Linked DNA regions of Drosophila melanogaster. The gene in region 1 interacts genetically with each later gene. Each region holds a gene or a part of one and is shown on either strand. Other genes may lie near its edges.

Evidence for each region.
Region 2: of Sap-r (region 1) and Calx, changing one enhances a phenotype caused by changing the other (phenotypic enhancement), as found in Drosophila melanogaster (one study listed by BioGRID).

What each region holds. Positions count from the first base shown.
Region 1 is NT_033777.3:30,882,902-30,890,736, forward strand, and holds Sap-r (Saposin-related), read right to left. Parts: upstream 6,162-7,835; 5' UTR 6,033-6,161; coding exon 5,984-6,032; intron 5,926-5,983; exon of another isoform or gene 5,839-5,925; coding exon 5,760-5,838; intron 4,004-5,759; coding exon 3,721-4,003; intron 3,647-3,720; coding exon 1,819-3,646; intron 1,750-1,818; coding exon 1,274-1,749; intron 1,217-1,273; coding exon 1,075-1,216; intron 1,017-1,074; coding exon 1,012-1,016; 3' UTR 563-1,011; downstream 1-562. Other genes in the region: CG15547 (uncharacterized protein), read right to left, coding at 1-26, 82-170, 227-498.
Region 2 is NT_033777.3:20,976,099-20,981,231, reverse strand, and holds the start of Calx (Na/Ca-exchange protein), read right to left. Parts: upstream 3,050-5,133; 5' UTR 2,112-3,049; intron 1-2,111. UniProt on the Drosophila melanogaster protein: Na(+)/Ca(2+) antiporter that couples the energy of a Na(+) electrochemical gradient to the movement of Ca(2+) against an electrochemical gradient across a membrane, which contributes to the regulation of cytoplasmic Ca(2+) levels.

The DNA.
Region 1 (7,835 bases):
GAACATTTGATGGGGCTCGTGAATATCTGAAAAATTCGATATATTATTTTTTACTTTATTAATCTCTGTATCGCTACTTACAGTTGGGAAAAATAAAGTTTATCTCACGAGCCACGCTGTAACTGTTCTTGGTGACATGGATATTGCGTTCCAGATCCGATGCCGAACCACTTAAAGTCAAATTGTACCTAGAGAACTTATTATTTTATTTTAAAAGCAAACTCACAAATAACAAATCATGATGTTGAGCAGCTCCTGCACGGCGTTTTCCTTCGTAACTATGAACGCCTCGGAAACACCCTTCGAAAGCAGAATGACCTCCAGCATAAACCCCTTTTCATCGGCATAATCGGCATAGAACTCGGCGGCAGTTTCTGGCGAAAAGGCAATCCGTCGATTACCCTGAATCTGGAAGCCCTCGGCCAGCAACTTTAAGAGCACCGGACGCCGCTTGTGCAGATAGTCCGGCTTAATGATAAACAGGGAGTTCTCAAACATGTCGGCTAGAAAATATATACTATTCCAAGGGGAATTGGGAATTTTCAATAATGTGCTACTATGTCGGTTTAAGTTTTCTGTATGATTTATAAGATCAATGTTCGTATTTTACACAGTTTTGCTTGATATCTTAAACTACACACACTGCTCAAATGACTTCGGACACATGGGGATATCGATACAAAGTTTGCGGCTCGTGAATTTCGCTAATTTTTATGTTGAAATTACGATAAGGGTACTGCTTAGTGTAAGTGTTAGTTTAGTTAAGTTTAACTTTTTTCAGCCGGCGTTTGAGTGCGTTTATAAATTCAGTTTCATCACAAATTCACCTAACAAATTTAGAGCCAAAAACCGGGGTACAAAACGAAAAGTAAGTAATTATGTTTCATTTACAGTAAATCGTTATAGAATGTAAACAGATATATGTAAAGGTATATGCATATATAAAGCGTGGGATCGGGTCCCTTCTCCTTCAAATCCTCCGCGCCTGGTTCGTACATCACAACGCATCACTTAGGCTGTTGAAGATAGTAAATTAGTAAATGTATTGTTTGGGTCCTTCAACCTATAGCTTACCTGAAATTCTAGCAAAGGCCAGCGAAGACTTCTCGCTTTCGAAACACTTGCCAATCTCGGCGCAAATATGCGACTGATCAATATAGGGTCGTTTGGCCAAGTTCTTAATGCTACTGCCATAGATGGAGATCATCTCAGAGCACTGCAACGCAAAGGAACTTATAGATATTTATAACATTCAGGATTGTAAGTTACATACGATCTTGTAGTACTTGGCTGGCAAGTTCTCGCATCCCACCGATGTCATCTGTAGGGCTGTCACTTCGGATACGTTATCTTTCTTCTCGCGCAGGAAGGGCAACAGAGCCTGGGTGACTCCATGGCACACACCACACTCCAAAACTTCATCGGTGACGGCCACGCTGAAGCAGAGCTGCAGTTTCTGGCACACCTGCTTGGGCGGCACATCGCTCAGCAATTTCAGGACCGCAGAGGCATATCCATCGACGAAGGTGTCGCACTGTTTGCGCACCGTGGCTGGCAGGCGATTGCACACGGCTTCAATCGCTCGCTTAATGTCGTCCTGTTCGGTCTTATTCTTTAGATCGGCATCCAACTTGGTCATGATAAATTCGCAAAGGACGCAGGTGGGCGGCTCCTTGATGCTGCTAGACAGCTTGTTGTCCTGGCGCGGCAGAGCAATCACGTCGTACTTCAAAGCCTCATCCACTTCGACTGTATTACGAAAATGAAATTCATTAGTTTAAACGTATACTTAACGTAGCTCTAGAATTTAATACTCACGATCATCCAGATCAGCCAGGATGCACATTCCCAACTCCGTGCAGATAAGCTTGGGATCCATTTCCTTTAACAGCAGATCGGCGATCTTATCGCCGTACTTGTCGATAACCTTGTGGCATTTAGTGTTCATTGGCTTCCTCATTCGGTCGCAAGACTCCTCCAGGATATGCTTGATGCTGTCTCTGGTGGGGTGCTTGCCCATACGCTTCTCCAAGGTCTTAACCAACTCCTCGCAGATCAGGCAGTTCGGAGCAGCGGTGAATCCTGGGTCGAAGGCCAGCTGAGGGGGCAGCTCCTCAAGGGACTCAATGTCATTGAAGCTGATTTCCTCACTGCTGGATTTGTCCTCACCATCGACATCGTCCTCCAGCGAGATGCGCAAGTCCCAGAGAGCGTAAGTGGTCTTTGGGCAGAGCTTCAGTTGGACGCAGATCTCCTGCGGCTTAAAATCTGTGATCAGCATGTCGATCAGCTCATTGGAATAGGTGTTCACGAAGTCTACGCATTCTTCCTTTATCTCGTTGGGCAGATGGCTGCAAAGGCCATTCAGAACCTTTTTGATATTATCCTTGGACTTGTTGTCGCGGATCTTCATCTGGGCCTGCTCAACGGCAAAGAGGCACAGAGGGCAAGTTGGGGGATCCTGCTCATCGCTGGCTGGCTGGGGATTGAACACTTCGACATCTTCCTTCTTGGGCAGATTCTTCGGGCACATCTGCATGAGGGGGCACACGTCACGAGGATTCAGTCCTTGGACGAGCAGAGCTATCACAGCATCGCCATACATCTCCACGAAGTTGCGGCATTGACCGGCAACTCCCGAGGGCAGTTTGGCGCAGATGTTCTCCACGGTGTGCTTGATCTCGTCATCCGTGGAGGGGGTAGCCAGAGTCTCCTGAATGAAATGCAGCATGTACTCACACAGGGTGCACAGCTCTCCACCCTCGACCAAAGCTCCGGGATTAGCTGCACCCATTAGGTGATCAATGGGCAGCTGCATGTCCAGGATCTCTTGCTGGCTGAACTTCGGCTCACTGGCGCCCAGTTGCTTCTTCTCGTGCTTCTCCAGCTTCTCGATGGTGATCTTTACCTGAGCCGGCTCAATAACAGGCAGCAGCGGCATGATTGGGACATCCTTCATCGAGGAGGCGGAGTTCTTCTGGCAAATGCCGATCATGCAGCAGGCTCCATTGGCATCTAACTTGCTGACCAGAGTCTCGTAAATCACATGGTAGTATTGGTCAACAATGCTAAGGCACTCGTCCTTGAATCCCTTTGACTGCTTGCAGAATCCTTCCATAACTTGCTTGAACTCCGTTTCAGTGGTGTTGGCCACCAAGACGTCGCGAAGGTGCTTTACTAGTTGCTCGCATAGTTCGCATGGAATATCATCGCCGGCATCCAAGGCAACTAAGGCTTCTTGCGGTTGCTTTTCCTCTTCATGCTGGTGATATCTGGAGGCACACACTCCGGACACATGGCACACGGCATCCGTGGTCAAGTGCTTGCTCACATGGTCGTAGATATCATTAAAATAGGTGAGCACAATGTTGGCACAGGCGTCTGAGAAACTAGATAGCGATCCGCACATATGAAGCATCGTTTCCACCATGTCATCGCGATCGGTAGCCGCAAATTTCGAGTGCATCAGGCGGGAAAGCAGGTTGCAGTTGCCGCAGGAAAGTTGGTTAGGCTGCATGGCCAACTCGGTCTCCTCGGAGCTGTCATCTTCATTCTGGACGGTTCCATCAAGACCAGCCTGAATGCCGTTCTTATACAATTCGTCGATGCGAGCACTGTTGCAAAGTCCGGCCACAGAGCAAACTTGCTGAGGATTGAAGGGAAACATTTTATATATCAATAAAAGGTTTAGGAGGATGTGTTGTAGAGGTGAAAACTCACATCTGGATTCATCTGCGAGGCCAGGGCCTCGACCAACTCGGGCAGGAAGTCATCGGCCACCTTGATGCACTCCTTCTGGATCGGCTTGATCGGAATCAGCTTGCAGGAGCCCTCGAAGACCTCCTTCAGCTCCTCCTCTGTCTGGTTGCTCTTCAGCTGGTCGCGGGCCTGAGTAACCATGTCCTTGCATATCGTGCAGATGGAGTCCGTGTCCACCGGCACCTTTTGGGTTTCCCAAACGGTTTGGATGCAGTGGCGGGTGGCACGACATTCCTTGGAGTTGCTGGAAAGGAAGCAGACATAAAGTTAGCAAACTTTTTTTTTGCTGTTAAGATAAACCCATCAGAGTAAGCAGTCGGATACTAAGCTGATTGTGCGAAATGCCGCTGTTCGGATCAAATGACCCGCATTCGTAATCGAGTGGCCAAGCCAGAATCGACGAGTCAGCAAAGACCAGAGTCCACTAAAAAGGGAGTAGTCCCCTATCCACTTTAAGAATGCACCCACAGCTCACATGATAATGTTGGGTCTTCAATGAATACAACGAAGCATTGGACTGGTAATAATTTTGATTTTTGAACATCCGAGACGGAACGAAATGGTTTAATAATCATCAAACTTATGCTGACTAAATCAAAGCCCATATCATCTCATATAAGCAAATAGCATTTAAAGCACAACACTTTGATGGAAAGTAACCCTATATTTGTTCAATATAAATCGATTTGACTGATTCGAACGGAAAGTGCTAATTTCCATTAACATGAAGAGACGCCTGCGGTGGAATCGCCAGGAATACCAAACAAAAGCGTCTAAATAGCAAAAAATCAGCACTGATAAGCACGGAAATAAACAGTACATATGTATGAATGATATATCTGGACGTATCCACGTATATATTATTCACTTGGCTGCGCATTCACAGATATTGTTTTCTGAATTTTCAACAGCAATGGCGACGTTTTTAATTTTTGACACTCTGCAATTGAGAAACAAAGAAACGGTTAAGAGCCAGAAATGGCGGATTTTCCTGGCCATTTAAAAATAAATCAATCAATAAACAAAGGAATTACGACTAGCGATAAGCGATGGATGGGTGCTTAACAAATGTTTTCAGTTGCCTATTGATCGCTTTTACTCTATTAATGATGCAGTCCATGTAAATGTTTTCAAGTTTATCTTGGTGTAACATACATACATATGTACGTACAGTATAGCTTCTGTAAGGTGATCCTTTGTGGCCGCAATGTAATATCACTCCATTGAGGAATTTACAATTGTGAGTATGGCTAAGATAAGGGTTTCAAGTGCATTGTGATTGTGTTAAGGCTTAGAAGTTGCACTTTCGGATGTTCCCCTGTACTCATCATACGCCTGAGGGATTAGTCAGAATTCGTTGATAAGGAACAACTGTTGCCGCCTACAGCGAATTAACAATGATAAACAAAGCAATCATGTGGTTTGTTTGGCGGTGCACAGAAAAGGGAGCTGTGTCAAAACGATCTGCTCCTCTGGATTACTCATGCATATAATCGGTGTCGATAAAGTTGTGCCCCCTACGAGCGCTTAACTCTGCCGTCTAAATGTTCCGACTGGCGGTACTGTTAATTTGATTTGTACAGCGAATGTGCAGACAAAGGAAATCCAGAAATATGGGATATGAAGGCAGAGAGTATTGCGAAAAGTGCACTCAGAGAAAACATCGAGTCTGTAAAACAATACAACGCAAAATAAGGGGACGCAATTAGAGCGGCACTAGTGTTAAGTTTGCAATAACAGGGGTTATCGGCGAATAGAGCTATGTAGAGCAAAGTGATTCGATTCCCGATTCGAGTGATAGTCTTATCGGCCGAGAACAAAACAGAACAGACGAGTCTTCGCTGCAAACAATGGGCAAGTGAGGCGGAGAAGTAATATCGCTATTTGGAGGGGGGTTAAGAGAGGTTAGCTTTTCGCCTTCGAGAACTTTGTGGTGTTCGATGACCAAGCGATTTATCCGAATATACCGTTTATTGTATCACCCACTTTTTTGCACTCACCTGAAATTTCCGCACCAGTAGGAGGGTCCCCAGGTGCACTTGCTGGAGCCCAAAAGGGGCGTGGCAGCGGCGAAGACGCCTGCAAGAAAGCAAACAAACAAAGAGAGCAACGGTTGAGGAACAGAGTGCACAGCACGAATACGCAATAAGCTATGACTAAACTATTATTGTGGTTCCCTTTCAACGTCGCTTTTCGCACTTCTCTCCATCTCTTCTCCACTCACCAAAGGCGCAGCACAGTGCCAAAACGGCCAAGAGGCCTGCTCTCTCCATTTTCCCGGTTTTAACTGTACTTCTTAAATGTCGGCGGAGATAGTCCTCTATTTGCAGCTACGTATTTATTTCTGAACGAAAACTGAAGTGCAATTGCAACGATTGGTTCAATTTTTTATTTGTCTGTAGTGTGGCCGCCGTCTGTTTCGTCAAATATATACCGTAGCGATATAATAGTGCGACCAGTCAGCGATTGAATTATTGTTAAATTTATTTAACGATACTTATGGAGCAAGACTTGGATAATGCTTTTAGCATAAAACCAACCCAGTGTATACTTAGCAATCAGGGGGGAGCATGGACTCGAACCGCACTCTGTTAATAACAGAGATCTGTTTTTGCCTTTCAAAAAGCCATAAAAACCTCCGAGGAAGCTATCATAAAATGGGGTCAGCAAATCATTAAACTTAAAATGGTATAATAAACAATTAAGTAACCGATATGAAACTATTAGATTTGGGCCACCTTTCTATAGGGTGTTAAGTACATGGAGTACTTGAATACGTTGTCCTTCAAATTATAACTTCAATTATCGTAGAAGAAAATTATTGCTCCTAAAGTCGGAACAATTTATTAAATCACTCACTCAATCAACAAACAAAGCCTTCGCCACCCGCAAATGCCTCACAATGTATTTATAATCGATTGCAATCCGCAGATTTAATTACATATTGCCGCGACGAAACTATGACAATAACCATCAGCGATGTTCTTGAACTTAGCGCGGTTATTAATACGCCCCTTTTTGCCCAGCCCCATCGCTTAACCCCCCTTTGGCCAACTTGGCCAACTGTGCGACGTGAACTGGCAGGCACATGATTAAATTCTATTGTAATTGCGGGTTAATTGATGTGAGCCTGCCCAGATGTAAAGCTCGCAGGCATAAATGTTGGGGAAAATGCATCTCACTCGTAATGGCCGGCTAGTAGATTTTTCTCGCGATGCCTATCGGCGTGTAATTCTCGATTCCGAGGTGCGTATCAAGATCTGTGTGAGAATCGTCTGAAGATACATTCGCAAAGAATGCCAGACACATTCTCACAGCGATTGAAAGTCGAGGTCATCTGGTGGTGTTTGCCCAACGAAATGCCAAATGCAAGCGCCGATCCGGCCAATACGGCCATAACATGGCTATATCTGTGTCAAAACCAACGATTTGGCTGTTCAGGGGCTTAGAAGGAAACCTGAAACCTGTCGTGTTGACCGTGGATTGCAACGCCTGCCGTGCATTTCGGTTCTTTGACGGAGATTAACCCACTGAGACCTTGCTGAAATACTTGGTACTTAGAACCAAAAATTGTGGAAATATTAAATTGCACTCGATTAAATAGGAATTGAATTTAAGGTTTATGTGACCTTAGGCGAGGTACCATGGGGTAGTAGAGGGTTAATTGCAGCCAGACACTGCACTTGACACTTGAAGTCTGGCTGCGAGATTGATATTATGGCAATTGAGTGGACCGCCGCCAAAGAACAAGTAATCAAGTTCAGCAGTGAAGGAAATTTAGGCAATTAACACGCTTATAAGTGAAGCAGTAAATCATTGGACTAACGTTTAATTTCGGAGTTTCAAGAGCGAGATAATTTTCTGCTTTTATCCGCTTTTTTATGTCATTCATAAATTTGTTTACTCTAGAAGCGACTGCTTGTTTGGGTCTTTGAATTCAGCCAAGCCAAGTTATAGTCGGACAAAGTACAAAGTACGCCTTTTATTCCCTCCCAATTAACTTGGTCAAAAATCAGGTTCGGAAAGAATTAAATGCATCCATCCACAAGAGTGAAATTTCCGGCAGTTCACACGCT
Region 2 (5,133 bases), 9.9 Mb from region 1:
CTGCCCATCTGGACGGCTTACTGGGCGTATGCGCAATTTGATGCCCACATACACGGTAAATCTAACAGGAAAATATGTAAAGCGAAGCTGGGTGAATTTTTTTTTATTTATGCCTCGTAGCTGGAGATTTGTTACTGTCAGGACGTATGTATGATTAACTCTGCTGCAACGGAATCCTGCATAAACTCTACACTCGAAAGTATGCTTTTTGGGGCTCTATTTTTTCCGGAAGCACGGCAGCTGCTAAAGCTGCTGATTCTGCGCCATTGTGCGAAATGTTGGCTTCCAGTTGCCGTGGCCACAGCAACTGTAACTTTATTTCACCATTGTTGTTCAATTGGGTGAGGGGCTGGAACTTTCTGCTGGTTTCATGAATCAAACATGACCGAATCTTGTTACATATTTGCAGTTTTCTTCGTCGAGTTTCTTTTGTGTACACATGTGCGCGGTTTATTTTTTTGTTAGTTAGAAAAGTTGGTCGCCCCACACACCGAAAATGGAAAAAAGTAGAATTTTTCGCCACTGTTTGCGGCTGCTACGTATGCAAGGCCTAAGCTTTTGAGTGCCTGCCACTTTTCTCTAAGCCTTTAAAGCGCTGAATTTTCATCTGAGAGCTGTACTGCGGTTTGGCTGTGTGGTCTGTTGCTTTTAATTGACGGAGCCATAAATTAAATGAATTTTCCAAAATCTTGTTTCATCTGGATTTTCTGCATTTCGCTGAATATGCTGCATACTCAATTTTAAATTACCCGAGGTATTCCTCTTATCAGAATCAGAAAATCGAGCATTTTGAGTGCTTCGAGTCATGCTGATGTTGGGTACTTGATTAAGCTAGCTAGTTAATGGCTGCCATTTAGTTTGATTAGATATAAAGCCCCAAACTGAGTTCCATTGTAACTTGTGTCCAATTGACAAATACTTATGGGACGACCTTCCTTCATTCATTGGTCAGTGAAAAGGAGCCCCTTAACCGAGTGAATGAATAAATGGCTATTTATTTGTACAAAGGGAAACAAAGTGAACTCTAAACTGAAATGGTAAGCAAATGTCAGGCAAGTGAAGCGAATGAAAGCTTGAATGATATTGACAAAGGCAAATGCTACCACCCATCGTCCTATGAATGAAAAAAGAACTCAAGGGGCTGGCCGACTTGGGCAGGAGTCGCGGGTTTTTTGCTTTTCAATTGTTTACTAGTCTCCGTGTTGATTGTTTTCTTTGGTTCCTTTCTATGGATACCCTATCAGATGGCATGATACTTTAGGCACTGTCTACAGTATAAGCGAAAAATTTCATCTAAGCGGGACAGTAAAATATACTTCATATAAATAATCATTTGTGGTTTAATGCTCTGAAATCTGAAATCATAAGCCTAACGTTTTCTGGCGAAGTTCTTTACTTTTTCTTGGGAGTCTTAATATACTTTATATGTTCATATGGGAGACGTGCCTTTTGGAATGTTAACATTATATCCCTTACTGACATTCGTTTCTTACAGCGTGTAAGAATCAAAGCTAGGATGCCATACAGCTTTATTTATAGTTAGTTATATCCTCTACAGTAAATACATTTCCGGATCACAAGCCGAGTCGATCATGATCAAGAAAATATGTAACGCCCAGAATTTGAAAAATGATCCAAAAAAAGTCCATTGCAGTTATGGTATGTGATAGTCGAGAAAGCCCAAAAACCAGCTGTCCACAAGGGAACTTAAAACTCGAACTTATGCCGATGTCAACTGGATTCCCCATTTGCTTTTCTTTTCTTCTGCGGTGCTGCTCGTCTCTTGATACTCACAAAAGACTCAATTAGGCGTTAGACAAAGACGGTGGACATAGCCATATGCTGCTTGGCCCAGAAGTTGTCGCTAATTCGCAGACAAAGGGCGAACGAGGGGCCAGTGGGCTTAATCGATAGAAAAACGAAAATGGGAAAACAAACTGACAATTGTCACGGACTGCCCCCGTCCGTTGTCAAGGTAAGACCGCCCGCACTATTCATACTCACATACACGGGGCGTATGCGTAATGCCTTAGCCATACCGCACGGCACTTCACATGTGGCGTATGATTAAGTCGTGCTTGGGTAGAATGCGCCTAAAACGAATACATTACCGGCAATCGGAGATGGAGGCGCCAGTGTGGCGAGCTGCAGGATCCGCTGCCGATGCTGCTGACACAATTTTCGCCGCTGCAGAGCTGCAACTGCAGAATGGCCGCACACAGATGCACCAGATATAGATACAGATACACAGATACAGATGCACGAAGCTGACGCCGAATTTGCGAATTTCGAGCTTGACACGAACACCCGGAGGCTGTTGAACCGCACCGCTCTGAACTCTTTTGGCTAGTTTTGTAGGTTTATGCCGTTTTCGTGCACATCCTTTCCTTTTCTTGCAGCTTCCTTTACAGTTGCATTTTTTGCAGCGGCTGCTGCAGTCCGCGTTGCCAAAAGTGAAAAGAGGCGGCCGGCACGGCGGTCGGTGGTCAATGGTCAATGGTCAGAAAACAGGTTCAAAAGTCGGCGACCGCAGGCGCAGGTCCTGTGTGTGTGTGTTACGAACGGGTGTGTGTGTTTGTACCGCACAACTTTCCCAAAAGTATGCAAAGATATTTAGCCTAGTTTCGACTCTCCGACAGCATCGTTGTTGATTTTTTGCTGCACTTTCTTGGCATTTTCTTTCAATTCATTTTTGCTCTCAAATTAATTTTGAAAATTTATTTATGGAAGATCATTTCACTAGCTTTAAACACTGTTTTTGTTTTTATTGTTGACTGAAGCACAACAAACACATCAACAAATACCTACATATATTTCTGTATATATGTGTATCTGTGTATGTTTCGCTGTGTAGTAAAAATAGTAAAACGCTCGGCACTTAAAATAGGAGAAGCGCAGCGAAAAACCGTTTGCCGCTGTTCTCTTCTATTGTTGTTGTTATTGTTTTGGTTGCTTCTTTCGTTGTCGTTGTTGTTGTATTTACCGCTGCTGCGTGTGGAAATCACGGAGAAAACGTTACACGCTCAAACGCCGGATAATGAAAGACTAACCTGCGAGCCAGTAACCGACTGCCACATTGGCCGACTGCCTCTTTAAAAATGCCGATTGTCGCGACACGAAGGGCACCCGAAATGCACACGAAGAGTGAGAGTGGCGAGTGCGAGGGCGGTGAAAGCGGGACAGATAAGGAAGAAAGTGCACAGGATAAGGAACAGAGTGGCAGTGGAACACTGGCCAGGCGATAACAACTGCGCCGCTCTCTCTCGCTGTCGCTCTCCGATGTTCCCCATCTTCCTCTCGTTGCAGTGGCGCATTTCGCAGGGGGTGTAAAGGTTTGGCGGGGAGGGTGGTGTAGAGGCATTGCTGGTTAGTATAGCCCACACCCACACCCCCTCCTCTACCACCCGCTGTCTTAGACAAGCAAGCGCATAAGTTTTTGACGCCCCTGTTAAGTCGGTTGGAAACAAGTTGCTGTACTCTATGCTTGGAAAATAGTCTATTAACAATAAGCACCGTTAGGGAAAGTGATTACTAGCAGATCGGGGTGCAAAAAAATATAAATTTTCAACACCCAATAAAGGTTCACGTGGCCAAATCTTTTATTTCTGAAAATTGTATTGTTTTATAATTTCTTAAGCTTAAAATATGATATTATTCACGCGTTGAAGTACAGTATTGATCTCAACATATACATTTTATTTAAATATATATATTTATTTATATTCAAAACCAAATTTGAGAAGTACATCGCCAATTCCAACTCAAATTGGCTAGAAAGCTTTTGATCGCATTGAAGTCAGCTTTTAAAAATAACTTAATTGGTATGTGTTTTACCGGATAAATGGCTTTCCCCTGTATAATTTTGATTTAGTTGATTGCGCCTTTTTACTTGGCTCTCTATGCAGCATCACGCCTACGAACTTTTTCAAGTCACTTATGCATTTTATTTTAATACCTATACATATTTTAATACCGCGCCATAAAAACTTCACTTAAAAAGTTAAATAATAATATTTTGTAGTTTTTTTTTTCTAATTATAAATCAGTTTTCCTAATTTAAAGTAATCTTCTTCTCTTCTATTATTATAATTCATGTATTAAATCAAAGCTAAAGCAGCAAATTAAGGCAATCGAATTAAGCAATGAATTAACATTTTAGTACTCCCCATCTACGGTTGTGTAATATGCCTCTCTAAATAATCGTAGGGTATCACCGGGGCTTTAAAGGTGGAATTCCTTACGAATGTTCTTTTGACTATGGCGACTGCGTTAGAATTTGGGGACCTGGATGGCTCGGCGGTTCGGCTGCTGACGGGCCCAGAACTGCGAACCGAATGGCGAGCTGTGCGAGGCGTCGTAAAAATAAATAAGCAAAACGGAAATTAATAAGACCCAAATGTTGCCGCTGTCGCAACGACCTCCCCATGTTGCCCCTGAGAGACCTGCCGCGACAATAGCGTTAGCCTTATGGCCATATAAACGCAGCAATGGAAACAGCAGCAGCGAAAGCAGCAAAAGTAGCGAAAGAGAAGCAAACGCTGCACGCCATTGCTGTAAGTACAGTACAGTACAGGAACATGTGTGCCAGTGTGTGCGCTCACAACCTTTTGCTACCTTGTATTTGGCGTCCATTTTTTTTCGTCCGCTTTCTGTTTGTTTTCGTTACGGATCCCAACTCATTCGGCAGGGGTGAACACGGGGCGTATGAGCAATATATTTATGTTTATAGCCTCGTTTCCAGTTGGTGTGTAGGCATAAAACTGTCGCGATTTTTATTTCGGATGTGTATGATTATTTGGCACGACAACTCAATTCAATGAATGAATAATAGCAATCATGAAATCATAGGACATTTACGAAATAAAATGACAGATCACAAATCTAAGCACTTTTTACAAATTACGTTTCTTTGCATTTGCAATCAACTTAAGTCTCATTTTACGTTTTTTTTTTAAACCCCACTTCCACATGTTTTTGCAAATAAAAGATTTTGATTTGTTTTTTAAGTTTTATTTATGTAGTTTTTTATTTTAATCATTGTTTAAATCTACAAATACATTTACAGCGGAGGGCGAAAGAACAAAAAATTAAAAATGTTTACTCATTGTTTTGTTGTTACATGCAAGTTTTTAC